Macaca mulatta: one gene and its partners. The protein of the gene in region 2 interacts with the protein of the main gene of each other region in a pairwise test. Links are inferred from orthologs where the notes say so. Each region holds a gene or a part of one and is shown on either strand. Other genes may lie near its edges.

Region 1 (7,649 bases), on a different chromosome or scaffold from region 2:
CTGTGTGCCAGAGCCTGCCGAGTGCCTTACATATTATTATCTTCTCATTTGCTTCTTACAGCAGCCTCGCAAAATATGAGGTTATTATCCCTACTTTACTGATGAAAAAACAAATTCAAAGAGTCTAGTAACTTATCTATGGTCATATGCCCATAAGATCCAGTGGTAGATAGGACCCTAGGTCATCTGCACTCAAAACCTGTGCCCTATAAAACTGCCTCCATAAATGTTGCTGAAAAGGTCTAGACATTTGGCTTTTTGTTTTTCTCTAGTTGATAAGTAAGCTTTTGCCCCTCGTTTCCTTCATGAGGGTTTTTCTGTAAATACAGTGCAAAGTTGCAGTAGTCTAGTAGGTGGGGTCTTTATCATCCTTTTCTGTTATCCCAAGGAAGAACCTATTCCAACATCATTCTAGAAACAGATCATTTTTATTCTGATAACTTAATGTCCAGCAATCTATACTCCCATCTTGCCTGGCTGGTTCTTAAATGTGAGATTGATCCCATATGGCACACCTTAAAGTTTGCAGGGGTTCTTCCTCGACATCATGTGCCAATTAAAAGTTTCAGTTCTTGATTGTGTGCTGTTTAGGGATTTAAAAACCAGAATTGGCCGGGCACGGAGGCTCATGCCTTTAATCCCAGCACGGAGGCCAAGGCGGGCAGATCACTTGAGGTCAGGAGTTTGAGAATAGCCTGGCCAACAACCCTGTCACTACTAAAAATACAAAAATTAGCCAGGTGTGGTGGTGTCCACCTGTAATTCCAGCTACTTGGGAGGCTGAGGCATGAAAATTGCTTGAACTCTGAAGGTGGAGGTTGCACTGAGTCGAGATTGTGTCACTGCATTCCAGCCTGGATGATGAAGTGAGACTCTGTCTCAAAAAACAGGACTAACAATCAAAAAAACCACAGAATTAGCTGAGCACATGGCTCATGCCTGTAATCCCATCACTATGGGAGGCCGAGGCAGGCGGATCACCTCAGGCTGGGAGTTCAAGACCAGCCTGACCAACCCCCTCTACTAAAAAAATACAAAATTAGCCGGGTGTGGTGATGCACGTCTGTAATCCTAGCTACTCAGGAGGCTGAGGCGTGAGAATCGCTTGAACCGGGGAGGCGGAGGTTGCTGTGAGCCACGATTGCACTCCAGCCTGGACAGCAAGAGTGAAACTCCATCCTCCCCACCCCCCCACCAAAAAAAAACCAGAATTATTCTCTTTTGTATAATTTTTTTTCTTTTCTTTTTCCATTTTTACTTGCCCTCTGCCATTAAAAAAACAGAGTTAAATGACTAAAGAATCCTACTTGTCTGATAACACTTAGCATCCTTTTAGGGGCGCTAGCAGTTGGATCATACAGAAGGAGCTAGATAAAAGGCACAATTAAGGGAAAATGCAAAGGGTTTTCATAGAATAAGGTGGGATCACTTTGGAGTGGTGGGAGATACAGGTAGAGCCAGATTATGGAGGCCGTGGATCCAGAAGGCTAATTGACTTCACTCTAGCAAATAAAACGTTTAGTAACTCCTTTAGAAAAAGAGTGACAGATCAAAGTGCTGTAGTATTTAATGCTTGAGTGTTAAATATTTGACATCCTGCGTATGTTTTGTAGGCAAAGAGGAGAGTTACTTGAAGTAAACTTTGGTTTTTTTGAGACAGGGTCTTGCTCTGTCACCCAGGCTGGAATCTTGGCTTACTGCAGCCTCAAGCTCCTGGGCTCAAGCAGTCCTGCCGCCTCAGGCCCTCTCCTCCACTCCAATAGCTGGGACTACATAAGATTACCACATAAGACTACCACAGATTCTGCCACCACACCCAGCTAATTTTTGTATTTTTAGTAGAGATGGGGTTTCACCATGTCGCCCAGGTTGGTCTTGAACTCCTGGACTCAAGGGAGCCACCTGCCTCGGTTTCCCAAAGTGCTGGGATAATAGGCATGAGCTATAATTGTTTATTTTTTTATTTTTATTTTTATTTTTTGAGACAGTCTCACTTTGTCAACAGGCTGGAGTGCAGCAGCACGATCTTGACTCACTACAACCTCCACCTCCCAGGTTCAAGCGATTCTCCTGCCTCAGCCTCCTGAGTAGCTGGGATTACAGGCGTGCACCACCACGCCCAGCTCATTTTTGTATTTTTAGTAGAGATGGGGTTTCACTATGTTGGCCAGGCTGGTCTCAAACTCTTGGGCTCAGGCAATTTGCCTGGCTTGGCTTCCCAAAGTGCTGAAATTACAGGTGTGAGCCACTGCACCCAGCTGAAGTCAACATTTTAAAAGAAACGAGAGTGTAGTGACTTGGCTTAAATTCAGTCTGTATCTGTGGTGGCATGATTGCCACTGAGTTGGCCACCTCTGCAGAAGTCTGAAATGTTCAACATAAAACTAATCCAAGTTTGACCCCTCTACCAGAAATTGTTTGTTTCATTTATTTGAGCTATGTTAAATTGGAAACTGGTGTCATTAATGTTTAAGAATGAAAGGAACTGAATAGAGTACTATCTCTTGAACTACTTTCTTTGTGAGCGTATTATATACTCACCTGAGTATCAAGTAGAAGAGAAAGTTGATCTATGGAGGGAAATTTCCAAAGGTTAAAAGCATGGGCTTTACGGTCAGATGAATTTGGATTCAAATCCTAGTTCTCACTTTATCCATGTAACACCCACTAGTTGTGTGACTTGGACAAAGTAAATTGCCTGAGTTTCCAGACTGTAAAATGGTAATAATATCTAGTTTAAGGCTGTTCTGAGATTTAGTCGAGATAATGTTTAGAAGATGCTTTGAACAGTCTGGCTAATATTAAATGGTATAGACGTGGTAAGTATTCTTGATCACTGCAGAGTCAGTGAAATTAAATTTTCATATTTTGATGAAAGGGAAAATACCAGTATTCAATTTGCAAATTTTAAATGTGTTGTTTCATTTTAAAAACATTGAACCTGTGGTTGGATTATTTCTGTCAATTTATTTGCCTTCCTTGCTGAGTCACACTTTGCCTAATTGATGTCCTATGTGTTTTGCATTCCGTTCATGCTGAATTATCTTAAAGAGGAAATCATCTTTCTGCCTCCAACCTTCTTATTTGCCTCTAATCCCCTTTGTTGACTCTTCCAAGTCAGGATTCTCACCAAGGAAGCTATCGGCCTTCTTTGGGAATGTTGGGATTATGAAGACTTGAGATAATGGGGTTCATGTATTCAGACTCTTTAGCATATACAGTAGGGTTTCTAATGTCAGCATTCCCTAGTGGGCGGTTACAAGTTAGGTTGGGATTCTAATCATATTTTATGATACCTCATGGATTAAATTGCACTTTGTCTTTGCCCAGTCTTGATTCTCTTTTGGCCAGCAGTTTTTAGGTCCATCAGTACTGCACTGCAAGAATGGCAGATTTTGGGATCTCTGCTGGCCAGTTTGTGGCAGTGGTCTGGGATAAGTCATCCCCAGTGGAGGCTCTGAAAGGTCTGGTGGATAAGCTTCAAGTGTTAACTGGCAATGAAGGCCATGTGTCTGTGGAAAACATCAACCAGCTGTTGCAGTGTAAGTACCCACCCATGTTGTCTGTATGAGGCTGGAGGGGTTTCTGTGGGAGTGTTGCATTTCTGTGGTTCCTTAATATCTGAGTTTTCATTTAGGGTGGCATGTGATAGTGGTGGCTCGTCACCCGGTTGTTTTTCAGTTGAGATACACTGAGCTTAGGATTGTAGTTGATGATTTCCATAAGTATGATGTTCTTTCTGTGTAGCTATTCCATGTTTTTTTAAAATGCTTACTATTAATCCAGCTTCTTGGATGGATACCGAGTGGTGTCCATTCTCTCAGGGTGAGGTCTGTAGCCTTTGTTGGGGGTTGAAAGGGACCAGGAGATTGTCCCAGGCCAGATGATTGCTAATTAGAGTCCTTTTCTTTTCAGCTGCCCACAAAGAATCCAGCTTTGACATTATTTTGTCGGGTTTAGTCCCGGGAAGCACCACTCTGCACAGTGCTGAGATTTTGGCTGAAATCGCCCGGATCCTTCGGCCTGGTGGATGTCTTTTTCTGAAAGAGCCGGTAGAGACAGCTGTAGGTAAGGAGATCTTCACTTGAAAAACACATTTGACAGGGTTGAGTCTTTGAGCATGTGTGCTGCATCTCCCTGAGCAGGAAATATCATTGGGAGATCAGTATTCCTATAGCAAAACCTTTTCCTTGGGGATAAGTTATTGTTAAAATCTGAAGCAACATATCTGGAGAAATTGTAGTCTTTGGCTGACTCATTATGTAACAAAATAGAAGGAAACTGCCATCTAAAAGTGGGTCCTTTTGCAGGTGAATAAACTTTGATATGTTCATAATATGGAAAGTGATGCAGCAATAAAAAGGAACACGCTAACTATATGTACATCAGCTTGGATGGATATCAAGGGAAGTAGCTGAGTGAAAAAAGCCAATCTCAAAAGGCTCTGTGCTGTACAATTCCATTCATATTCTTGAAATAACAAAATTATAGTAGTGGAGATCAGATTAGAGTTTGCCAGAGGTTAGAAGTGGGAGGAAAGGGGTGTGTGGAGCTATAAAGGGGAAGTATAATGCTTCTCCTTTATAGATGGAACAATTCTGTGTTCTGAATGTGGTGGTGGTTACACATATCTACACATGTAATAAAATTACTTGGAACTATAAAGCCCCCTCTGCCAAACGAGTACATATGAAAGTAATGAAATCTGAAAAAGCTATGTGGACCATCAGTATCAATTTCCTGGTCTTCATATCAGGCTATAATTGGGTAAGATGTTACTGTGGGGAGAGACGAAGTGAAGACCTCCTTAATATATAGAACTTTTTTGTTTTTTCCAACTTCCTGTGAATCTATAGTTATTTCAAAATAAAAGGTTTAAAAATAATGACTGGAACTCTAGGGGTGATGTGGTAATTATTGATTCATGTGAAACTAATGACAGTGTTCATGAAGTAAAAAATTTTTTGATCAGTGGTATAGCTGTCAGAGTGATTCAGTTCTGGATTTTAATATTTTTCACTAGACTTTCAGTCAAAATGTAACAATTTCATCAAATAGAATAATAGAAATGAAAGTATTTTGAAATGTATAAAGGTGTTCGTTGTTTATGGGGAAATAGAACTTTGTGTTATGTGTAGTATACATCAGCATTCTTTGCTGGGAGTTTAAACCTTACGTGACTAAATGCAGTGTCTCAGTCAGAACTATATAGAGAGCAAAAAAGAACTATACAGAAAGAATACTTGTATTTCTGTGCACTTTGCAGTTCATAAGCCTCTTTTCATAGTCATTATCTCACAACCTCTGGAAGGGGTTTCAAGAAGCAGAGTGATAAAAAAAATAATAATAATGGAATTATAACATTTAAGAGCTTAGGTAAAAACACTTTGAACAAAAAAAAAGTGTTTGTCAAGTTAAAATAGTATCACTATGGCCAGGCACAGTGGCTCATACCCGTAATCGAAGCAGTTTGAGAGGCCAGGGCAGGTGCATTGCTTGAGTCCAGGAGTTCGAGACTAGCCTGGGCAACATGGCGAAACCCCGTCTCTACAAAAAATACAAAAATTAGCCAGGCATGGTGGTGCCCACCTATAGTCCCAGCTACTTGGTAGGCGCTGAGGCAGGAGGATTGCTTGAACCTGGGAGGTCGAGGCTGCAATGAGCCAAGATCATGCCACTGCACTTCATGACAAAGTGAGACCCTGTCTCAAAAATAATAATAAGAAGAAGAATAAAATAATATCACTAAAATGTATATACAGTTGTCCTCATCTTACAATGGAGTTACGTCCTGATAAATGCTATTAAGACGAAAATGCATGTAATTCATCTAACCTACTAAACGTAATTGCTTAGCTTAGCCTAGCCTACCTTAAACACGCTTAGGACACTTGCATTAGCCTACAGTTGGGCAGAATCATCTAACACAAAGCCTGTTTATAATAGTGCTGAGTATCTCATGTAGTTTAGTGAAAACTGAAGTATACGGTTTCTACTTGAATGGGTATCACTTTTACACCATCATAAAAGTTGAAAAATTATAAGTAGAACCATCATTAAGTCAAGGACCATCTGTACATTAAACAGAATAGGTTATTTTGTTTTGTTTTGTTTTTTGTTTTTTCTTTGAGATCAAGTCTCACTCTGTTGTGCCGGCCAGAGTGCAGTGGTGCAGTCTCGGCTCACTGCAACCCCCACCTCCTGGGTTCAAGTGATTCTCATGCCTCAGCTTCCCAAGTAAGTGGGATTACAGGCATGTGCCACTACGCCTGGCTATTTTTTTTGTGTGTATTTTTAGTAGAGACGGGATTTTGCTGTGTTGGCCAGATTGGTCTTGAACTCCTGGCCTCAAGTGATCTGTCCACCTCAGTCTCCCAAAGTGCTGGGATTACAGACATGAGCCACCATGCCCGCCTGGTTATTATTGTTTGAATGCTTGCTAACCCACATAGGATTGAGCCTTTATTATTTTTCCTACTTTGACCTATAAAGCTATTAATTGAGATTTTCCTTTTGGCAGATAACAATAGCAAAGTGAAGACAGCATCTAAGCTGTGTTCAGCCCTGACTCTTTCTGGTCTTGTGGAAGTGAAAGAGGTATGTTTGTAGACAGCTTTCTTTGATGCCCTGCAGGTGAGGTAATCAGTATTGCTTAGAACTAGGAAACAAGAAATGCTTTGCATGTAAGATACATGATGCTTCAAAGGACAAAACTTGTGAGAATAGGCCGGGTGCTGTGGCTCATGTCTGTAATCTCAGCACTTTAGGAGGCCGAGGCAGGTGGATCACGAGGTCAGGAGATTGAGACCATCCTGGCTAACATGGTGAAACCCCATCTCTACTAAAAATACAAAAAAATTAGCTGGGCCTGGTGGCAGGCGCCTATAGTCCCAGCTACTTGGGAGGCTGAAGCAGGAGAATGGTGTGAACCTAAGAGGTGGAGCTTGCAGTAAGCCGAGATCATGCCGCTGCACTCCAGCCTGGGCGACAGAGTGAGACTCTGTCTCAAAAAAAAAAAAAAAAACTTGTGAGAATAATCAACTTCGAAGAGACTCAACTTGGCCCATGTGGGCTGGGGCTTGTTCTTGTCTCCTTGGTACTAGTTTAGTGGTAGTGACAGCTGAGGGGCATGAGCAGCAGCTCTGTTGCTTCCAACACCCACCTCTCAGTAGACCCGAATCCTAGGCCTGGGTGAACACTGTCACCTAGTTCAGCCTCACATTTTTGGTGGGAGGCTGGAATAGGTTAGGGGCAAAGTTCTTTTTCTGACAATTCAGTGGAAATATTTAAATTAAGCAGAAGTGTTTATATTTCTACACTCTTTGATGTTAAAATTTTCTTGGATGTGGGAGAGGTAAATGTTACAGCATGATAGCTGATGTGCCTGTTATTTCTTACATAACGTAGGGCCTTAAATTCTTTATTTTTTATTTTTTTTAATTTTTTTTTTCTTCTTTTTGGAGACAGTCTTGCTCTGTTGCCCAGACTGGAGTGCAGTGGCACGATCTCTGCTCACTGCAACATCCGCCTCCTGGGTTCAAGCAATTCTCCTGCCTCAGCCTCCCAAGTAGCTGGGATTACAGGCATGCACCGCCATACCCAGCTAATTTTTTGTATTTTTAGTATAGATGGGGGTTCGCTATGTTGGC
Region 2 (7,649 bases):
CCTTATTCGTGATCCTCATGAAGACAGGAAAATGCTTGTTTTAGGAAGAGTTTCCAGAAGCACTGAAGTATATGTCATCTTAAACAGAATCTTAAATCCTTGAGCAGGTTAATTATTTGGGAATTCTTATAGCTATTTCAGTTAACAAAGCTTTTAGCAAAGCAAAAGGTATTTAAGTCATAGTCAGATATTCCTCCTGCAGTGAGAGTCATCCAACCCGGCTCTTACTTTTAAATCAGTATCAGGCACAAAATCAGGTTTCAAAGATGTTTTTTAGGGTTTATTGTTAGGTAGTGATGAGATGCAGTGTTAGGCACCTATTCACATCATGAGTAGAAATGACTGGGGGTGGAAATGGGGATTCTGTGGCAGTTAAACATTACTTTTCTATATTTAAATATTTTTATTGCATGCATGCATTTTTCTTAAAAAAAAGTGTGTAAATATTTTGTTACTAGAATAAAGCCTTCTTGCCATCTTATCCTGAAGCATAACATTTCTAGTCTGCCACTTTAACCCTTAAAAATGAAACACTACCAATCAATCTTCCTAGTCTGCATGTAATTGCCTAAAGCTAAAATAAAGCTTTTTCTCAGCCAGTTACAGTAAAAATGAGTTAATATATTGGCAACAGAATAACCATCAGCAATCAGCCGTTAGCCGTTTACTAATGAACTCCCAGATGAATAAAAAAATTTCAGAATCAGTGTTTTACTTCAGGCTGTACATGAACTTCACACTTCAGATGTAGAAAAAGCAACTTACATGCTATACAAATAAATACTAGTGCTTCATCTCAATAAACTGCAGATTTGGAAAATGTTTGGAGCTCACTTGTAGATCCATGTTTTAATAGTAAATATGATTTTGGGTGACATCAGTAAAGCCCTTTCTTGCAATTAATCTTATATTGAATTTTATGGTTTGATTTTGTTTAAAAACAATTGCTGATACTACTAAGTCTTTTAGAAATTTTGAATCTGAAGAATAGGTTCTTTTCCAGTGAATTATAACTGTGTTTGAGAAGAAGAATGAGGCATGAAAGAGTAGGGCCCTACAAAGTACTGGGAACAATGGAGAAGAATTAGCTTATGGAAAGAAAAATACTTTTTTTTTCCAGACTAGGCTAATAGGTTTATAAAAGACTGATATTCACACTCTTATTCTTCAGTTCTAATGTCATAATAAGATGATGTCAAAAAAGTACAGAATAAAAATGTGTCACAAAAGTATAATAAAATCATGGAACATAAAATTGTCACTATAGTGTAGTAAAAAAAATTACATTACATACTTTAGGGAATGTAAATAGTTTTAAAAAAGAAACTGTCAAGTTATGACATGAGAATGAATACCGTCAATCTATTGATGGTTCATATATAACAACAGAGAAGATAGCTTTAAAATTCAATGTACTGTGTGTGTTTCAGACTACAGGAGAACACAAGCCTTCTTGATTTTTAATTTATCCTACTTAGAGATAGTGAAGATTGAGAACTACCGAAGTGGGAACTCAGGAAGTAGTAAAATGGCAGTAGAAACGAAACAGCATTGGGTTTTTAGTATAGTCAAGTAGTAGTTAAAAATAACAATTGTAGAATTTTTTCCTCTGCCCAGAATTGATTCTTGTAGGTTCACAACAGGAAGGCTGGGAGGGACTGTCCAGAGCGTCAGGTCTCCTGATTACTAGGAAAGTGCTGAGCGGAGGCCACCCATGGCCTCATCATGTGTCACCTTGGTGGGTGGAGGGAGCAGGTGTCAGATTCAGATTTCTGTTTTTTTTTTAAAGACAGGGTCTTGCTCTATCACTCAGACTGAAGGCTGGAGTGCAGTGACAATCTCATAGCTTGCTCCAACCTCAGACTTCTGGTCTCAAGTGATCCTCTTACCTCAGTCTCCCTAGTCTCTGGGATTATGGGTATGCACCATCACCCTCAGGTCTCTGCTTTTTGGCTAGTGCTATTTCTTCTGTGACAAAAAATGTCCATGATATTGAAGAGTAACTTTAATAAATACACACACCACTTTTTTTTTTTTAATACTCACAATTGTGTCAAAAAGTTAAGTCATATCTGAGTGTGTGATATGGTTCAAGGTCAAATAAGGGGATCCAGGAATTTATTTTCTGTTTGTATACTATCCAGCCATGCTAATTAAATCACCAGCAAAATAAGGCAGGCGTCTATGTCCATTAGATGATGTGTATGCTGAACTAATGTATTATCATGTGTACATGTTTCGAGAGAGAGAAGCTAAGTGCTTTATTTTCTTTTTTTGTGTACAGGTTTCAGCAAGCAGATGGTGGAAATTCTTCACAAACATAATATTCAATTTAGCAGCTTTGATATCTTCTCAGATGAAGAGGTTCGACAGGGACTCAAAGCCTATTCCAATTGGCCTACCTATCCTCAGCTCTACGTTTCTGGAGAGCTCATAGGAGGACTTGATATAATTAAGGTTAGAATTGAGAAGTCTGTGCTTTGTAAATAAATTCCATTTAGAGCATACTTTTTAAAGTGTGATAAATCTAAGATACAAATTTCTTATGAATCTATATTTACTAATAAGAACCTGCAATGAATACACAGTATTTCTGATTAGTTGATTGATCAATAAGCTGTGTTATGGTGTGATCAAGGAGATTTATGTTATAATAATTTTTTTTTATAAAACTGACATGTGTGCTTATTTTAGGAGCTAGAAGCATCTGAAGAACTAGATACAATTTGTCCCAAAGCTCCCAAATTAGAGGAAAGGTAAGTGTTTTGGAAAGTTTTAAATAGTCTGTCATTTAATATGTTAAAAATATTTTAAAGTCCTCAGGTTTTGCATTGCTCTTTCTGTGTAGAAATCAAGGATTTGGTATTTGTATGCCAGAGGTCATAATTTCATTGTTTAGTCAAACTAGCCATGCAAACTTTGGCAAATCTAATTTGGATTGGAGAAATTTTAGCACCAACTTAATGATCATGTGGAGGACCTTCTTTGCTTTTATAGAAATGTCATTGTTTCTGTGGAACAACCAAATTTTGCTTACCTCTCTGCATTTCAGAGCCAGGGTCCAGTTGTCTTGTCACTGCTCCTTGGCGTAACCTCAGCACACTCGTGTTTTCCTGGGTGCAGCCTTGGTGACTGCTGCGGGTGCTGCCCCAACGCCAGAGCACTGAGTGACAAGTGGTGAGTGTGAAAAGCTCATCACCTCGCAACAAGCTTTGGGCACTTCTCATGGCCTTTCTAGACCACGAGAACTTACATGAGCAGGTTTTGGGGCTGTGAAACATGTATTTGTTTTGTCAAGGATCTCACTTGGCTTTTGGAGAAGTTCTCTTACAGAAACGTTGGACTTTGGTGTATAAGGCAACTTAATAGGATTTTTATTGCAGTAAATGTGAATTAATATAGAACTTTAAAGAGGAACTTACTATATCAGCAATCAGCCATTCATAGGTTGGGGCTGGAGATTGTAAGATAAACCTTCCTTTGGTAATTTTTTTTTGCCATGTAACATCTTGAGAATTTCTAAAAGTGTGTAATAATAATAATTACCTCATTTGTCTGTTGTTAATTAATAATTTCTATAAATAATGTTCCATTCCACGTATGTAAGGCTGATCTTTGAGTACTGCATTCTGTCCTGTGGTTTGTACCATTTTCTGCGTTCTTCGTGAGAGAGTGATGCTCCGCATCCCTTTGTTGACTCTGGGCGTCTTCATGTGTGGTTCTTGCCTGTAGCCTGGTGATGCCCATGGCCCATGGAGGCTGTGTGTTCTCCAAGGACAGCTGTGCTTTTTATATGCTTGTATTCGCTGTTCAGTTGATTTTCCTTCTCTGCTGAGTACACTTGCTGCTGTTAATGGCCTTGTCTCCATTGGGCCTTTGTTTTCCTAAATGTGCTGTTTCTAAATCTGTGCTTGCGGACACTGAAAGGTAACTGGCTAGAATTATGTAGAAAGTAAAATTCAGCATATTTTGAGTAATAATTTAAAGGGCTCCTAGTGAGCAGAGTGCAGGAAGTGGAGTTCATGGACTTGTGACGTGTATTTTGGCAGTACATTGTGAGCTGTGGTTCCCTGTATCCAGGTGGCTGGGTTAGTTATTGGGTTGTCAGGGTCAGCATCGTATTCCTGTATCCATTCATATTTTTCTGAACTTGAGCTAATCCCACTCGGTTGGCAATGTAAGTGATACAGCTTTGTGCATGATTTATGCATTTCATTTGGGATTCGTTTATAAGGAGATTTTTGAGCCTTGAATTGGGAGAACATGGTGGCGTGACCCCATGGAGCTTAGGTTCTTTAGTGACCTGTCGTCCCAACACTGACTTTTCCTGAGATTTGTGACTAAACTTGTGGCTGTATACAGATAATTAAAATTTCTGATAACATATTAGATTATGATGTTGGCAATACTGTATAAAATATAATGTTAAGATGAAAGTATTTGATTTTAGCATCTGGCATTAGTTGATGTTCTGAGGTTTAATGCTGTCACCCTGCAGTCTGACCTTGTGAGCTTTACACGTGTACAGTGGTGTGCAGCATCATGATGGAAGATGGTGCTCACAAGATCTAGTTCTGGAAGTTTTGGATGGGCTTAATATATAGGCCCCTTATTGAACAATTCCTTACTGAATTGGTTGTTATTATTATTTTTTTATTACTGTGAGTTGATGGGCTTAAATTGCAACTTGAAGGAACATTCTTTGCCTTAAAAGCCATATTGTGTTTTACAGTGGCTTAGGGAGAGAATGAAATCAAGGAAAATGTCAACGCATTTGCTTGTTTAATACCACTCAAAGCTGTGAACTGTCATCCTGCCATCCCTCAAATATGCATGTTACTCACGAAGCGGAGGAAAAGTGGTGTTGCATAATTGAGCTGAGCCGTTTTATATCAATTTTCTCTCTTTAGGCTCAAAGTGCTGACAAATAAAGCTTCTGTGATGCTCTTTATGAAAGGAAACAAACAGGTAAAGAACTCAAAAATGGTTTTATTTGTAATTTCTTTTGATGTTAACATCTGCAACAAGGGGACAGTTAAATCTCTTTTTCCTAGCTTTAGCTAATGAAGCTGTAGCGGTATCAGGAAGTTATCCAGGCCTTAATTGGTGCTTACGGAGATCAAACAAAGTAATCTACATTTTGCTTGACTTTATCATCAACATCTCAGTGGGGTGCATTTCTTTCTGCTGCCAAACTTTGTCAGCTAACGTGGTCAACACTGTTAACACTTTACTGGTTGTATGAGTTGTTATTTCATTATCCTTTGTTGGAGTTTGTGGACTGCTGGAGTGTGCAGCTGAGTCACTGGACTTCCTGAATGCAGGGAACCTGGTCGTGCTTGGGTTTGCACCCCTAGATCGTCCTTTTGTGACAGTGGAGGAGCAAACCCTGGCTGTAGCAGGTGTGCTGTGTGTAGTGTTTGATGAATGAGTGAAATGGTCAGCAATTCTCATTTGTAATGGGATGGTTCTTGTAGCTTTTTGACGAAAGTGCATATTGATTGTGCGTCATTTTGAATATCAAGTTTGATAGATTACTTCCACTAATAGTTTGAGCAGAACTAATTTTCTTTCAGATTGAGATCAGAGTGGTAATTTCCAGAAACCAGCCATACACATTTATGCCATATTTTGTAGTTTTCATAGCAATTGAACCTCTATTTAATTCTCAATCAGTTGTTGAAGTAGGCAGGGTTGGACAGAGTTTGGCCTATTTTAGAGATAAAGAAACCAAAGCTTTGAAAGGTGAGGCTGTTGGAATAAAGAAACTGCCTCACTTGTTAGCCAGATGCACTGGGCAAGTGACACAGAGAACCACTTTGCCACTTTGCTCATTGGGAAAGGGACTCAATACTTCTTCACAGGGCAGACTCTGGTTGCCATAACTAGTGTGTAAGTTACATAACTAGTATAATGAAGCTAATTAGTTAACATAACTAATTGGTTAATATAATTAGGTAATGAAAGTAACAGTAACAAATAAAATGTTAATATAAATTTCAGCATTTTGGAATCACTAGGTTAGATCCTAAATTCTTTGGTTTTGCTTCAGTGTATTGAAACAATAGAGGAAGTTAATAATTCCTAGTAATGATAAAGTGACATTTTTTTCTTATTCTTGGTAATTGTTTAAGCGGATATTTATTCTCAAAACTGTTTTTTTCTGGAAACCTAGAAAGTTTTAATACATTTTGGAAACAGTGTTATTAGGGCTATTAAAATGTTTACATGGTACCGTATCTTTTCCACAAGATTGCTGGAATTTGGAGTCCTGTGGCATGAAAAAAGCTTAAGATTTTCATAAACTCAAAAAAGTGTTAGTATTCTGTAATGTAAAAATAAATGAGGCCGGGCGTGGTGGCTCATGCCTGTAATCCCAGCACTTTGGGAGGCCAAGGCAGGTGGATCCTGAGGTCAAGAGATCGAGACCATCCTGGCCATCATGGTGAAACCCCATCTTTACTAAAAATACTAAAAGTTAGCGGGTGTGGTGGCGTGCGCCTGTAGTCCCAGCTACTCTGGAGGCTGAGGCAGGAGAATTGCTTGAACCTGGGAAGTGGACGTCACAGTGAGCCAAGATTGCACTCCAGCCTGGGCGACAGAGTGAGACTCCGTCTCAAAAAAAAAAGAAAAAAAAAAAGGAGTCAGAGTCCAGTTGGAAATGGGAAAATAATTGTCATAATCATTGCAAAAAGACTAAGTGAGTTAAGATCATTTTGCATGAGTGAAGTGAAGAATGAACTGAAATCTTTGTAGAAAATCTAGGTTTCACTTAGAGGAACTTTTTGACCACAGAGATTATAAACTGTTGGAACACATGTCATCTCAAGTGGTTACAAACCAAAGTAAGTCTGTGGGTCACGTGTGCCTGGGTTGATGTGCAGATGGTTCGTACTTGAAGAAGGGATTAGCAGAAGCTCTGCTAGCTGAGTGAAAGCAGTGGCAACCACGATGGACAAGTGCTGTGCTGATTGACAGAGTTTTAGGTACAACCATGCTGCTTGGGTCATATAAAAAATGTAATCTTTACAAATTTTTTTTTCATCTAGGAAGCAAAATGTGGATTCAGCAAACAAATTCTGGAAATACTAAATAGTACTGGGTATGTAAATGTTGTTTTCAGATGTCCCAGAGAAGGAAGGAAATACCCTTTGCCACCACTCTCAGGAAGATAGAATTGGAATTAAGCTTTCGTAAAGCTTTCCCAAATCCTTTCATCATTCTACAGTTGTATGCTATTTGTGGAAAGATTTCTTTCTCAAGTAGTAGTTTTTAATAAAACTACAGTACTTTGTGTATTTCTTTTCACTGTGTATATTTCTACTGATCTGATCTCACTGTTGATGTTGCTTTCCAAAGATGTGTGTTGCATAATACAGTGGATCTGAATTTATTATTGCTTATAAAACACATTTGATGGAATAGGAGTACTGGTTTTTCATTATGGTTAAAAATGAAACCAGCTGTGGATTTCAAAACACAGTGTATTCTAGATCATCTGCTATCCATGCTGATTTTTATTGCACAAGAATTAGGTTTGAACTTTTGAGCTGGACCCCTCAGCAAACTAGAGTGTATATTGTTCAGTATTTCTTTGGAAACATTTCATTAATGTACTTGTCTTACAGAAATTTCTGGACCTTAGTAAA
Region 3 (7,649 bases), on a different chromosome or scaffold from region 2:
ACTTTATTGGTGTAGTTCCAGAGTAAGCATAAAATTTATAAATACTGAAGTATATTCATTATTTTAAATATTTAAAATAATAATTCTTACAGCAGTGATGATAGATATCTTTAAAATCATCCATAATTCTACCATCCTCACATCCCATTAATTTCATTTATCTCTTTCTTCGTAGTCTATATGTAATTTTAAAGCTATCTTTATTTTATTGTCAACAAAACATGGAACTGAACATTCATCAGGGATGTTTCAAAAACTGGTGATTCAGCCCCAGTAACTTAGCTGTCTCATTTTATCTAAAGGAAAATTTGTTTGAAACAAATTTGCTAATCGCAAATTAGCTCTGATAATAGGCATAGCTTATGTTAAGTGAAAATTTTACTTCCCCTATTTCAATATAGCATAAGACCACACAAGTGACAATTATCTGAGTACAATACATTGTTTCTTTCTAATATGTATTTTATTTAATCAGACATCTATTTACCTCTCCTTGAATTGCAGACACACAGATGAATGCTTCTCACCCTGAAACAAACTTGCCAGTTGGGTATCCTCCTCAGTATCCACCGACAGCGTTCCAAGGTAAAGTAGTTGATTAAAGAAGAAAAATGAAAGTTAATCAATCAGTCTCTCTTGAGAGAGAGAGAATTGTGCATTTGTTTTTATTTTAGTTGCTCTTTTTTTAAAACTATATTAATGAAATTTTGGCAGCCTAGTTGTTCTTGATTATTTTTATTTGGCTATACATTTTCCATAGAAGTAATTTTTATTTATAGAGGACAGTAAAGGTATAAAGAAAGCTAGTAAAAACAGCATTAGGTTTAAATTTAGCAAATGAAATACAAGACTGCACATCCCAATACACAAATGTTAAGTAAAATATTTTATTGATCCTCCATCTGTTCTGAAAATTATGATCATTTAATCACATTTAGGAAATTTATTTCTGATAAATTGAGTCATGTAGCTTGGCATGTGTTCAGTGAGAGTCACATCAAAATGATAAGACTGCTTAAAACTGGAAGTAATAGAAATTCAGTTACGTGGGAATAATTCTCATTTTAATTTTATAATATATATGAAAGCTTTATTTTTGTATATATACTGATTCAGCCCTGTATTTCTAAGAAAAATAATTGAGTCATTTGACTACGTATGCAATTGAGTACATTTTTTCTTTTCAACCAATGCCTGAAAGAATTCAGAGATTTTCATTTAGGCAAATGCAGTTATCCAAAATACTAGAACTTTAAAAATAGCAAAGGCCATAGCATGTCCAGATTTACAAGCAGGCAGGCTACCCAGATCTTGAAAGAGCATCCTGGGGATTTAGGATCAAAGGGAATGTGGGTTGGATAGAAGGATGTACCCATTGTATGCTCTTCCCTGAGTAAACAAATGTGCTTAGGAGCTGGTGTCATGTTTAATTGCCTAGCAAGAAACCTCCCTGCGTCCTGGATCTCATCCAGATGTTTGCAACTAAAAGAATATGAGCTAGATAAGCTCAAAGACTCTCAGGTGGTGGCTCATGGGAACCATGCCTGCACTGAAGTATCATCACCCAGAACCACTTCAAAATAGTAGTGCCAGGGCACTATTCCAGAAAAATTAAATCATAGCTTCTGGTGGTGGAACTTAAGGAATAGTAATCTTTTAACACCCGAAGTCATTCTAATGTGAAGCCAGGGTTGAGAACCTCTGCTCCAAATTCTTACAGGGTTGCTGTTTGGAAAATCATTAGTAAGTCTATAATAGTCATCCAAGGCACTTAAGAGAATTACGTAATCCACCCTATCACTAAATTAAAAGTGGATATACATAAATAATACAGTTCAGATATAATCAGACTTGAGAGTTTGCATATATATATATATATATATATATATATATATATATACATATATATCACTCCACAGCTTTATTTTGTTTCTCAAGTCCAGGATTACATATAGCACAAGTCTTAAGATAACAATGATGCTAACAGTAAGGATAATTTAAAATTGAGAGCTTACCATGCTTTAGTTATTGTTTTAAATGTGGAATTAATGTGGATTAATACATTTAATTCTCAGAAAACTCTTATGAGGTAAATATTGTTAGTTATCCCCATTGTGTATGTGGGAAAGCTGAGGCATAGGGAGTTTGGATCAGACTTCAGGTTCTGCCTGCTTTAAAAAAAAAAAAAAATTGTATAGGTAAATGTGCTGGTAAACTAGGTTCTGCCTTCTTTACTGATACTTATGTGGTAGTCTTAAACAAGTTGCAGTACCTCAAAGCCTCAGTGTTCCTATCTATAAATGAGGGTGATATTTTCAATGTAGGTTGCTTTGTAGAGTAAATGAGAGTATATGTAAAACACTGAGCACAATGCTTGCAAATAAGAAATGACAAGTATTTGCTAACATATTTAAAATATTTTAAATCAATTAGTCTTTACATAAATGATACTAGTATTCAAATTTCAGGTAATTCTTTATGCTTAATTCATTCATTTGATGAGTAATCAATCATATTTTCAGAGTCTGGGGGAAATTATGATGATGTTAAAAATGTGAGAAATTAAATCACATCTCCACATACCCACTGGTCTGCCTATGGTCTGGGTTCTGTGCTGACGCCAGTGATCTTTAAAAATGTAAATCTGCTCATATTACAGAGAGTGTATAACCCCTATTTTATTAGTGTCCTATTACTTTTAGGATAAAGGCTAACACTAAACCCAGGATGGCCTTTTCCATGCTCTCTCTTTAACCTCCTCTTGAGCCTGGCTTGCTGCTATTCAGCTAGACAGGCTATTTTTCAGATTTTTAAAGGCCTATGTTAGTTATTGTCCCAGGACTTTGCTCTGAAATGTTCTTTCTATGACTCTGGCCTCCTGAACTCCTGTGCATCCTTCAGATCTCAGCGTAAAGGTGACCCCTCAGGGCAGCTGTTCCTACTCCTTCCCTTTTTCTCTTCCCATCTCAATAGCGACCTTTGGCATCTCTAGTCATAAAACCGTGGTCTCTTACTTGAAAGCATTTATCTCTTATTCTAATTAATCAATTAATTACTCTGGTATTATAGCTCCCTAGAATAAGTGGGGATTTAAAGTTGTCTCTCTCATTAAACAATGATGGACAGGGATTGCATCTGTGTCTTCCATTGTAAATTCTAATACTTTTCTACTCCTGAAAATTTTGTAAGATATAAATAAGACCATGGAACTCATTCTTCTGCTCAGAATCCTCCAGTACTTGCCAATCATAATTGGAACCAAATCCAGACTCCTTACTAAGGCCTCCTTTGATGAACAGCTTCCTATTGCTTTGCTAACAGCATGTCAGATTCATTACAAAGTCAGAGGTATTCTATTTGCCTTTCTTTCCTCCTGAAGCATTTCTCACTAGATCTTCATATAAAGCTTTTCTCATCTTTTAGACTTTGATGGAAATTATATTTACCTAAAGTAACTGCCTCATGCCCTGCCCTCCCTGACATACATTCTTCTCCATCACATTCATATGAATTTTTTTTGTTCTAAATGTGTTTTCTTTCTCTCAGAAGTTGACTGTAAGCTCTCTGACAGCAGGATGCCTCCTTGAGATTTGTGTCCTCATATTCTACAACACAGCCAGTCACATTATGGATCATTTGTAAATATTCATTCATCATAAAGGAATAAATTATAAAAACTTTATTTATGATGCATTATTGTGAGGTTTAATCTGTTTATCTAAGCCTTATTTTTTAAAGGCAAATGAATTTTGTCATAAATGTTCCATTTAAAAGAATGTATACATTTCCTATTCTAAGTATTGCATTTTGCATAGGCTTTAATGTTAAAATATTGAGAAACACAGTCCTTTGAAATTATATTCCACTGCTATGGAATTTTGTGGACCATCCAAACAGGCATATAAATCTTCATTGTAATCACATATTCATAGAGAATATGAAGTACACTTACTCTTATTAAATTTCTGCCTCTACTCTGCCTCTTACAATTTTTTCCCATCCTTATTTCTCAAATTATATTTTCCAGAGACCAAAGGATGTTAAATTGTGAAATTTAAATTTCTAACCTAAATATTACAATGAAATTTTCTTTTAATGAAGAAGGACTTAGGAAAGCAATACATTATGGATTAAAACATAATGCAAAGGATTAACTCAAGCAGGTATCTGGAATGTACTGAAAGAAATGACATGCTTTCACCTTCAACAGTGGCACTATAATATTTTGGGCTGGACAATTCTTCATTGTTAGGGAGCTGTTCTGGGTCTTTGAAGATGTGTAGCAGTAGCCCTGGCCGCCACCCACCAGATGCAGTATTATCTTCCCCTCCAGTTGTGACCAAAAAGAGTCTGCAAATCTTGTCAAATATCCCTGGCAGAGAGGGGGCAAAACTACCCCCAGTTCTATACATACATTATAAGTCATTTGCTAGAATTTCAGAATTATCATTTTTCACAAGGTACTTTGGCCCTAGAAATGCTGACTCAAAGCCATTATTTTGGGCCTTCTACCAATGCCATGTCTGTTTCCCTTGAGGCTTGCCAGAATCTTTATGTAGGTGACTGTAGATCATGGTTATTTACTTTCATTTTCTCAGATATTAAAGCATATTTTCCATCTGAGTTTTGAATGGTAAGGGTAAGGCTATTCACTGCCTGCTATCCTCAAAACAGAAGTGGATATGCAACCACAGATATTTCATTGAAAAATCTCAGAAAGATAAAAGCATATCTTAAACATCACAGATACAGATTTCTATGCTGAAATGTCAACTTATAGATATATGGCGTAACCCTAAAATGGTTGATGATTCCATCTTTGGTGCAGTTATAAATCATTTCACTTGTTTGTATTTCAGGACCTCCAGGATATAATGGCTACCCTGGGCCCCAGGTTGGCTACCCACCCCCACCAGCTGGCCATTCAGGTCCTGGCCCAGCTGGCTTTCCTGTCCCAAATCAGCCAATGTATAATCAGCCAGTATATAATCAGCCAGGTGGAGCTGCAGGGATACCATGGATGCCAGCACCACCGCCTCCATTAAACTGTCCACCTGGATTAGAATATTTAAGTCAGGTAATTTCAAAGACACAAAATACTCATAAAAAACAGAACTGTGCTTCCAGCTTGCTTAACCAGATTAACAAATGAATAATTCACCAAAGTCTGAAATGGCAAAACTATATATTCTGCTAAGAGATTACTCTCATTCTTTTAGGTCAGGTTCAGTTTTAAAGCAAAACACAAATGCCTTAGAAAATTGTACTTTCTGTGATCTTAAATACAATCTATGATAATGGCCAATAACAAACATTTAATTAACACTGTTTTCCTGTCTTTGTTGTATGCCTGATACATGTATTAACTCATTTAATCCTTATAGAAAGTCTATGATGTATAGGTGCTACAGTTATCTCCATTTTTCAAAAGAAGAAACTGAGGTCCAGAGAAGTTATATAGCTCCCTCTGGGGTGAGAACCTAAAGAGTTGAGACTGTTTTTTTAATCCCCAAACTTTGGTACTGAGCAAAGTGCTCTTTAATCTCAATACTGAATAATTGCTTTATAATTTGAAATAAAATTTAAATTAAGTTTATTTTTGAGTTTCAATAAGTGGCACCAAACAAGGGGTTAATATTTTATGTGTAATACAACTCACCTTTTTATTGTAACTAATACAACTGCATTTTTATGATGCTGCTTTTGTTCTTTGGAAGACCCAATTTTATAAATGCCATTAATAAAGGAGTAAAAAGTCCTGGATTTTGTTGCACTGAATTATAATTAATCTCAGCAATAAGAGGTTTAACATTTATTTGGTGTTAAAAATCAGGTAGATCAAATAGAAACAAGAAACTCCGTGTGTCCAGCCAGTTTTCATTTCATAAATCACTTCTTTCTTGCACTATCTTTAGTAACTTAATTTCCCACAATGCACTTAAGTGGCACAATCATAGGAATTTTGGGTCATTATTGTATTATGCAAGAAATACACAGAAATAGATATTTTAAAAATCAGGGTCTCATAAAATACATAAAGGATGTTATCACATATGACAAAGGCTGATATTAAGTATGCTTAATACAAATTTGAAACTTGTAAAAAAATCTCTTTGATGGCTAAAGAAGTTATCAATATTTCTTGAGCCTCCTCAAGAAGGAAGACTGTTTTCTACTTTTCAAATTGTTTTTGACACATAATAATTGTGCATATTTATAGAGTACAGTGTGGCATTTTAATGCCCATGTACTATGTGTAATGAAAAATAAGGATAGTTAGCATACTTATCACTTTCAATATTTATCATTTCTTAGTGTCGAAAACATTCCAGATCCTCTCGAAAATATACAATAAATTGTTAATTATAGTCAACCTACATAGCTGTGGAACACTAGAATTTATTCCTCCTATCTAAATGTAATTTTGTATTCATTAACCAACTTGTCTTTATAACTCTCCTCTCTACCCTTCACAGTTTCTAGTAACCAGTATTCTACTATCTACTTTTTTTTGTTGTTTGGATGGAGTCTTGCCCTGTTGCCCAGGCTGGAGTGCAGTGGTGCCATCTCAGCTCACTGCAAGCTCCGCCTCCCAGGTTCAAGCGATTCTCCTGCCTCAGCCTCCCAAGTACCTGGGCTACAAGCGCGCCCCACCACACCCAGCTCGTTTTTGTATTTTTAGTAGAGACGGAGTCTCACCATATTGGTCAGGCTGGTCTCGAACTGCTGACCTTGTGATCCGCCTGCCTTGGCCTCCCAAAATGCTGGGATTACAGGCGTGAACCACCGTGCCCAGCCTCTACTCTCTACTTCTAAGAAATCAATTTTTTTAAGCTTCCACTTATGTGTGAGAACATTCAGTATTTTTCTTTCCGTGCCTGGCTTATTTCACTTAACATAATATGTCCCTGGCCGGTCGCGGTGGCTCAAGCCTGTAATCCCAGCACTTTGGGAGGCCAGGATGGGCGGATCACGAGGTCAGTAGATCGAGACCATCCTGGCTAACCGGGTGAAACCCCATCTCTACTAAAAAGTACAAAAAAACTAGCCAGGCGTGGTGGCGGGCGCCTGCAGTCCCAGCTACTCGGGAGGCTGAGGCAGGAGAATGGCGTGAACCCGGGAACCCGGGAGGCGGAGCTTGCAGTAAGCTGAGATCCGGCCGCTGTACTCCAGCCCAGGCGACAGAGCGAGACTCCGTCTCAAAAAAATAAATAAATAAATAATAGTAATAATAATAATAATATGTCCCTTAGGCTCATCCATGTTGCTGCCAGTGATAGGATTTCATTCATTTTTATGGCTGAGTTTTATTCCATTGTGTGTATCAAGAATGAATTTTTCTTTATTCATTTATCTATTGAACACTTAGGTTGATTCTATATGTTGACTGTTAATGCTGCAATAAGCATGAGATTGCAGATACCTCTTTGACATATTGATTTTCTGTCCTTTAAAATTTTTGTTCTGAAAATTTCGAAAAATTTGAAAAAATACCTTTTTAAAAAAAACAGTAGTGGGATTGCTGAATCATATGGTGGCTGTAATTTTAGTTTTTGAGGAACCTCTTCACTGTTCTCCATAATGGCTGCTCTGATTTACTTTCCCACCAACAGATTTCCCCTTCTCCACATTTTTACCATTATTTGTTA
Region 4 (7,649 bases), on a different chromosome or scaffold from region 2:
GTGAAAGCTTTATCTCCCAGATAAGGAAATTGAGGTTTGGAGAGAATAAATGATTTGCTCAGGTCCTCCTTACCAAATTTTTCTGACTCTGAAGTTCATATTCCTAACTGCTTCAGTCTAAGAAAGTTGTTATTTGTTGTTTTTTTTTTAGATGGAGTCTCACTCTGTCACCATGGTGGAGTGCAGTGGTGCCATCTCAGCTCACACCAACCTCCGCCTCCCGTGTTCAGGCAATTCTCGTGCCTCAGCCTCCCAAGTAGCTGGGATTACAGGCGCACGCCACCACACCCAGCTAATTTTTTTTTTGTATTTTTAGTAGAGACAGGGTTTCACCATTATGGCCAGGCTGGTTTCAAACTCCTGACCTCAAGTGATCCGCCTATCTCGGCCTCCCAAAGTGCTAGAATTACAGGCTTAAGCCACTGCGCCCAGCCTGTTATTTGTTTTTAAAAGTTGTGTGTTTTTAAGGAATGCCACATTGAAGGAGTGCTGATAATTCCGTTAGTCTCAGTCCATACCACAGAGATAACTGGCTTGTGGCAGCCAAGTGTGCATAGTGATGTTGCTTTTTAGAAGGAAAAAAAACAAAAACAAAAACAAAACCTCAATCCAGGAAGAAATGCCTAAAAGAGCCACTTGATTTACTTCCTGTCTTTATCCATGTCCTCTGAAGTACCAGTTGAAGAACCTGTCTACTTCTAGGAATGCATTTGACTTTGATACAAAATTAGATTCTTTTTTTTTTTTTTTTTTTTTTTTTTTTTGAGACGGAGTCTTGCTCTGTCGCCCAGGCTGGGGTGCAGTGGCCGGATCTCAGCTCACTGCAAGCTCCACCTCCCGGGTTTACGCCATTCTCCTGCCTCAGCCTCCTGAGTAGCTGGGACTACAGGCGCCCGCCACCTCGCCCGGCTAGTTTTTTGTATTTTTTTAGTAGAGATGGGGTTTCACCGTGTTAGCCAGGATGGTCTCGATCTCCTGACCTCGTGATCCACCCGTCTCGGCCTCCCAAAGTGCTGGGATTACAGGCTTGAGCCACCGCTCCCGGCCCAAAATTAGATTCTATAACCCTGATTCACTTGTGTCAGTTGTCCCAGATTTCAGATGACCGTGCCAAACTGTGCCTCTACTGTGTTCTCAGCTCTGGAACTACCAAACAAGTTTATTCATTAAGTAATGCCAGGAATTGGTTAGCTTCCTGGAAGCAGAATTTGTCAACCTGATAAACCAGCTCTTATAATAACATCATCTTATACAGAATTAGAAATTATTTCTCCAGTCCTACTTGTGGATCTGACTTGAAAAGTGGTGTGTGTATGTGTGTGCCTGTATGTGTATTCACATCCGTCTTCGTTCAGTATCTGAGTTGAAAGAACTGAAAATTCTCAATTCTTAGGGTGGTTAATGTTGTTACTGATAACTGTGCATTCCGCTTTTAGGAGTATTGTTGGATGCTCCTCAGAAAACGCTTAAACCTAGTCATAATCCTGCTTACATTGATCCCAATTTATTATTACAGTTGGTCCAATTTTTTACATATTTAATAATATATAAGCCATTTAATATATAAACCTATACATATTATTATATAAACCAATCTTCCTAGCTTAGATGTTATGCTCTAGTTTTTAAGGTTTGGTTGTGAGGATAAAAATCAAAACAAAAAACCAAGTTCCCTTTTTTGAGATACGGTCTCACTGTTGCCCAGGCTGGAGTACAGTGGCATGATCATGGCTCACTGCAGCCTCAACCTCCTGGGCTCAAGTGATCCTTCCACCTACGCCTCTCAAGTAGCTGAGCCTACAGCGTGCACCACCATGCCCAGCTAATTTTTTGTATTTTTGTAGAACGGAGTTTTGCCATGTTGCCCCAGTCTGGTCTCCAACTCGTGGGCTCAAGCAATCTGCCTGCCTCGGCCTCCCAAAGTGCTGAGATTACAGGCATGAGCCACCCTGTCCAGCCAAGTTCCCTTCTTTAAGGAAGCTATAGAGAAATTGTAGAAGGTATAAAATAATTGATGGGATTTATATGTGTTAATTTTGACAGATGTCTTTTTGTAGATACCCACTTTCTCCTCATTCATTATCCGCTTTACTGCATGCTTTCGATATTACAACTATGTCACTCTCATACATACTTTTGTATATGTTTTGAAGTGGAATCATATGGGAAGTTAGGCTCCTGGTATTTTCCTGCAAGTTTTAAATCTAATTTTACTGTCCTGAACAAGCAAAAGCCTCTTTATAGGCAACTTTGTCCTTTTCTGCACCTCGTCAGAGGGCATATAGGGCACTAGAGCAGATTTGGTCTAGGAAGAGGGGAGAGGCAAATAAGGGGAAGGGCCAGGCACGGTGGCTTATGACTGTAATCCCAGCATTTTGGGAGGCTAAGGAGGGAGGATCGCGTGAGCTCAGGTGTTTGAAATCAGCCTGGGCAACATGGTGAAACCCTCTCTCAATAAAAAATACAAAAATTAGCAGGGCGTGGTGGTGTGCACCTGTAGTCCCAGCTACTCTGGAGGCTGAGGTGGAGGATTGTTTGAGCCTGGGGGGTGGAGGAGGCTGTAGTGAGCTGTGATTGTACCACTATACTCTAGCCTGGGCAACAGAGCAAAACCCTGTCTCAGTCAGTCAGTCACTCAATCAGTAGTGGAAGAAGAGACTGGAGCAGTTTTACTTCCTACATTTCACGCTGTTCATTTCTTTCCACAGGGTATTAGAATATTTCCAAGGGGCAGTGATAAAGGGCAGAAGATGAGCACTCTCTTTGGGTGGAATATTTTGTATTTGCTTCTTTTAAGGTGTGCCCCAAGTCCCCAAATGAGTCAGTTTTCACCAAAGCAAGTGTAACGACTCATCCCTCATGTTCCCTTCCCGATCAACAGATTTATTCATTTTCAATCTCCAAATGCTATTTGAATGGGCAAATATATCTTAAAGGACCTGGGAAAAATTTGTACAACATAGACTTGGGCTGGTTTGTGTTCTGGGTTTTGGCCATTTGTTTTTAATGTATGAGAACTCTAGTACTCCATGCTATTTCAAGAAAAGGGGATTAAAAGTAATGGCAGTAAGGTGGAGACAATGCATTGCTTGGTCAGCTTAGGGAGGAAAAACAATAGAACTACCCTTTGACTTCCCTATGGGAAGTAGAAGGCCTATAAACTTGTAAAGAGTTGGTGGGGGTTGATGGTGGTGGTGGCATTCAGATGCTAGGCTTGTAAAACAACTTCTGTTCAAAACAGTTACCTGAGGCCCTTATTTGGTACCTTTTAAAATGTACTCTCCTCCTTATGATGCTTTAAGAATAAGTCTGGGACTGACACTGTGCCATAATCTGCTCTCTGGATTTATCTTTTCATTCAATACCATATTACATTGTACTGTGTTGTTCTTCACTTCAACTTTTCATCTATTTTTCCTGGTTAAGTTTCTCTGGCACTGGACAAACTGCTCTGTTTGAGCATGTCCCTTCCCTGCAATTAATTGGTAAATATTGCTGTAGGAAATCTGATTGGAGGGCTATTAAGAAACCATTAAAGGTCAGGCATGGTGGCTCACACCTGTAATCTTAGCACTTTGGGAGGCCGAGACAAGAGGATCACGGAAGTCCAGGAGTTGGAGACCAGCCTGGGCAACATGGGGAGACCCCGTCTCTACAAAAAATTAAAAAATTATCCAGGCATGGTGGCCCATGCCTGTGTTCCCAGCTACTCGGGAGGCTGATGTGGGAAGGTCGCTTAAGCCCTAGAGTTCGAGGCTGCAGTGAGCTGTGATCACGCCACTGCACTCCAGCCTGAGGGACAGAGCAAGACCTTGTCTCAAAGAAAAAAAATTCCGTTAAAATTCAAATTGCCATAGTCTGACCTTTTGGGCTGCATCTGATTATAGTTACAGGGTCTGTCATTTTGCCTGGGCAGAACTCCCTGAGTATTAGTCATATAGTTTGTGAAAGAACTTTGCTGGTCTGTATTTAAGTATCTTAGTCCATGTGCTCTCTTTCATTGCAGACGAACAGGAGGCATTGAACTCAATCATGAACGATCTGGTGGCCCTCCAGATGAACCGACGTCACCGGATGCCTGGATATGAGACCATGAAGAACAAAGACACAGGTCACTCAAATAGGCAGGTGTGTGTGACCCTGGCAGAGCTAAATGAGATTTGTTGGGGAGGGGTTTTCAAATGGGAAATATATGAAAAGCCAAGGAGACTACATTACCAGGGTTGAATACTTTTGACCCCTTCCTTTCACAGTCTGTTAAATGGGAAGTAATACATACCAACCAGGTATGGTTAAATGGTAAGTGATATTGGGAGGCCGAGGCAGGCAGATCACCTGAGGTCAAGAGTTTGAGACCAGCCTGGCCAACATGGTGAAACCCCATCTCTACTAAAAATACAAAATTAGCCAGGTGTGGTGGTGCATGCCTGTAGGCCCGCTAATCAGGAGGCTGAGACAGGAGAATTGCTTGAACCTGGGAGGCAAAGGCTGCAGTGAGCCGAGATGGCACCACTGCACTCCAGCCTGGGCAAGAGAGCAAAACTCTGTCTCAAAAAAAAAAAAAAAAGCCATGCAGTTATGGATCTGTGATTTGGAATCTTAAAGCCTTCTGTAAGCATTTCATCTGTTATGGGGACAGTATTCATATACGTTTTTCCCCTTTAGTGATATTTGGGAAATATTTAATTCAGATTCATGATCCCTAAGTCAGAAGGTTTTTAGCTACCTTACAGTATATAATCAGGAAAAACTAATTAATTTGGTATTAGCTTATGTAAAATATAATTAAGAAGGTAAATTTATTAATTAAAATGTCACATAGTATATTCTAAAGGCAATAATGAGTGATTTTGTTATTACTGTTTGCTTTACCTTATTAACCCAGGTAGTTGATAGTGCCTGTTTTATTGAGAGTTGTATGCTTCCTTAGGAAAACATTGCCTATTTTTCTTAACATTTAAAATTGTGTGTCATTGAGAATCTTCTTCTCACCCGTAGTGCCACTTACCTGTTTCCTGGGTACTTTGGCCTGCAGAGAGGAGTGAATGATGGGGAGCTTTCCTTCCTAGTCGGTATCTAATGCTACATCAGCTATATTGGGCATATTTGATGAAAATTTGTCTATGGCATTCTCCCTTGTGGTTCTGTTTATCAGCTAACCTCTTTTCTTCTCATTTGCATCTTGTTTACCAATTCTTCAGAATTGGTTCCTAGAGATAGTATAAGGCCCTAGAACTTTTCCTGTCTGTGGTCTGCTAGATAGAGCCTTCCAGAGTATTTCCTGCCTTTAGGAATCCTAGGGACCCCAAGGGAAGAGGAGTCCTTTTGTTTCATGTTAAAACAGAAGGATTAGTTTAAAAAGCTGCTTTTGTTGTTGTTACCTTACAGTACTGGAGGTATATAAACAGATAAGGGCCCATTCTTACACTGTTTTCAGATGTTATTCTGTCTGACTGTTTGAGTTCTCCCTTGCTATAACTCATTTGTATTCAAAGCCACTTTTGGAAGGAGCATTTTACCAGAAGTGAGTCCCCTCCCCCATGCTTGAGCCTAATGACCTCACTTTCCTTCCTGTCTTCCTATGTAGAGTGTGCTTGGTAACACTGCTCCAGTTAGCTGATCTTTCTCCACACTGGACTATTGGCATGAGTATCAGTTAGTGGGTAAAAAGGGGAAGCTTTCTTGAATTGGAAGGCCCAAAAGGTCCAGGCTGGGAAAAGGAGGGGTGGAATGGTTACTGATAGTTCCTTGAAGGAGGATTCCTTTTTAGGACTCCTTCTGCTTAGAGCCTAAAAGCTGTGATGAGGGAAGTCTTGATCTTTTGCTGTGCCTGCTGCTGCACTGTTAGAGTGAAGTCAGTGGTTATGAAGGCAGAAGACTGTAAAAAGGATTGACTATTTGTTAGGAAGTAATCTTTTTTTTTTTTTTTGAGACGGAGTCTGGCTCTGTCGCCCAGGCTGGAGTGCAGTGGCCGGATCTTAGCTCACTGCAAGCTCCACCCCCTGGGTTCACGCCATTCTCCTGCCTCAGCCTCCCGAGTAGCTGGGACTACAGGCGCCCGCCACCTCTCCTGGCTAGTTTTTTGTATTTTTTAGTAGAGACGGGGTTTCACCATGTTAGCCAGGATGGTCTCGATCTCCTGACCTAGTGATCCGCCCATCTCGGCCTCCCAAAGTGCTGGGATTACAGGCGTGAGCCACCGTGCCCGGCCAGGAAGTAATCTTAACAAGAGGTACTAGATCTTTGGATCCATGATTTACTTTAATGTTGTCAAACTTATGTTGCACGAAGGAAACAAATTATTAACCTCAGTGTTTTTGTTTTTAAAGAAAAAACACAACAGCAGCAGCTCAGCCCTTCTGAACAGCCCCACAGTAACAACAAGCTCATGTGCAGGGGCCAGTGAGAAAAAGAAATTTTTGGTAAGGATCCAGATTACCTGTTAAAGCCAAAATGTACTTTTAAGTCTGCTATTCATGCTGCAACAGCGGAATTCACTTCCCGAACAAGTTGTTTGTAAAAAGTATTGGTTACCCGTGACCTGTGTTCAGTGCTTCTAGTCACCATTTCTCACAACAGTGTTATTGATAAGCAGCCTCTATCAGTGCTGTCCAATAAATTTTCTGTGATGACAGACATGTTTTATATCTGTGCTGTCCAATGTGGTATTGTAGCCACTAGCCACGTGTGTCTGTTGAGCAACTAAGGAACTAAATTTTAAATTTTATGTAATTTTAATTAATTTAGACAGCCACTTGTGGCTGGTGGCTATTGTATTGGACAGCACAACTTTAGGTACTATGTAAGGGACTGTTGATTTATTGGGCAAGAAATTATGTATATGCTTGGAGATGTGTAGAGATTCATTAGTATGTTCATTCCTTACACACGTCATGAGTTTCTATACATTGCGATAAGCTAATAATGGGAATCCTATCTTAAGATTCTGTTTTAGGAAGAATGTGAAGATGTGGAACTAGTATGGCTGTTTAGAAATTGAAGCTCAAAGTTTTATGTTAATATGGGCAAAAGGGGAAATAAAATGCTAAGATAGCTTTTCCTCTTAATGAAGTCAAGGTTATAGAATGGCCTGTCCTGGGAAGCGTAGCAGATGTTTCACTTCTGACCAAGAGGGATATTCTTCAGCAAAATTCTGAAAGCAGAAAAAGCCAAAGTCTCAGCAAATGCATCTCTAGGAAAGACGGGGTAAGAGGCAGTGCGGGGAAGATGTGGGGGAGAGGTATTTATAGCCTAATATAATGAAAAGAGCCTGGTGATATTAATTATTATTTAACATAGGACTTTATAATTCACAGAGTTACACATTTATTATTATTATCATAGTTTTTGTTAGCCTTGGCCTGAGACAGAATGAAATAGTTTTCTTCATTACCAGTTCTTCTACCAGAAAGTCCATGCTTAGGAAGAGAGAGGAATGAAAGATCAAAACCTAATTTAAATGGTAAAGAGTTGCCAAATTTGGTTAAGAAATGTCTAATTGGATTACAGATTCAAATTGCAGAATCCTAGTTGAAAGAAACTAAGCATTTTGGCTAGCTGAAAAGGTTGTTTATTCAAGGGTGGAATGGTGCTGGCAGAGGCTAACAGCCTTTCACTATGAGAATGGCAGTGCTGGCTACAAGACAGAG

What was found.
Region 1: the proteins of GLRX3 (region 2) and CIAPIN1 interact in binary tests that used the Homo sapiens proteins (3 or more experiments, as listed by UniProt). The link is inferred for Macaca mulatta from reciprocal best matches to the Homo sapiens genes GLRX3 and CIAPIN1.
Region 3: the proteins of GLRX3 (region 2) and PLSCR1 interact in binary tests that used the Homo sapiens proteins (3 or more experiments, as listed by UniProt). The two-hybrid records come from large-scale screens. The link is inferred for Macaca mulatta from reciprocal best matches to the Homo sapiens genes GLRX3 and PLSCR1.
Region 4: the proteins of GLRX3 (region 2) and MAP3K3 interact in a two-hybrid assay, tested with the Homo sapiens proteins (2 studies listed by BioGRID and IntAct). The link is inferred for Macaca mulatta from reciprocal best matches to the Homo sapiens genes GLRX3 and MAP3K3.

Annotation. Positions count from the first base shown.
Region 1 is NC_133425.1:53,033,570-53,041,218, reverse strand, and holds part of CIAPIN1 (anamorsin), read left to right. Parts: exon of another isoform or gene 1-1,988; intron 1,989-2,055; exon of another isoform or gene 2,056-2,196; 5' UTR 2,197-3,385; coding exon 3,386-3,542; intron 3,543-3,915; coding exon 3,916-4,068; intron 4,069-6,520; coding exon 6,521-6,597; intron 6,598-7,649. UniProt on the Homo sapiens protein: Component of the cytosolic iron-sulfur (Fe-S) protein assembly (CIA) machinery required for the maturation of extramitochondrial Fe-S proteins.
Region 2 is NC_133414.1:142,207,084-142,214,732, forward strand, and holds part of GLRX3 (glutaredoxin-3), read left to right. Parts: intron 1-2,284; coding exon 2,285-2,457; intron 2,458-2,694; coding exon 2,695-2,756; intron 2,757-4,910; coding exon 4,911-4,968; intron 4,969-7,049; coding exon 7,050-7,102; intron 7,103-7,649. UniProt on the Homo sapiens protein: Together with BOLA2, acts as a cytosolic iron-sulfur (Fe-S) cluster assembly factor that facilitates [2Fe-2S] cluster insertion into a subset of cytosolic proteins.
Region 3 is NC_133407.1:49,510,943-49,518,591, reverse strand, and holds part of PLSCR1 (phospholipid scramblase 1), read left to right. Parts: intron 1-504; coding exon 505-585; intron 586-4,859; coding exon 4,860-5,077; intron 5,078-7,649. UniProt on the Homo sapiens protein: Catalyzes calcium-induced ATP-independent rapid bidirectional and non-specific movement of phospholipids (lipid scrambling or lipid flip-flop) between the inner and outer leaflet of the plasma membrane resulting in collapse of the phospholipid asymmetry which leads to phosphatidylserine externalization on the cell surface.
Region 4 is NC_133421.1:73,424,272-73,431,920, forward strand, and holds part of MAP3K3 (mitogen-activated protein kinase kinase kinase 3), read left to right. Parts: intron 1-4,006; coding exon 4,007-4,128; intron 4,129-6,213; exon of another isoform or gene 6,214-6,232; intron 6,233-6,329; coding exon 6,330-6,422; intron 6,423-7,649. UniProt on the Homo sapiens protein: Component of a protein kinase signal transduction cascade. Mediates activation of the NF-kappa-B, AP1 and DDIT3 transcriptional regulators.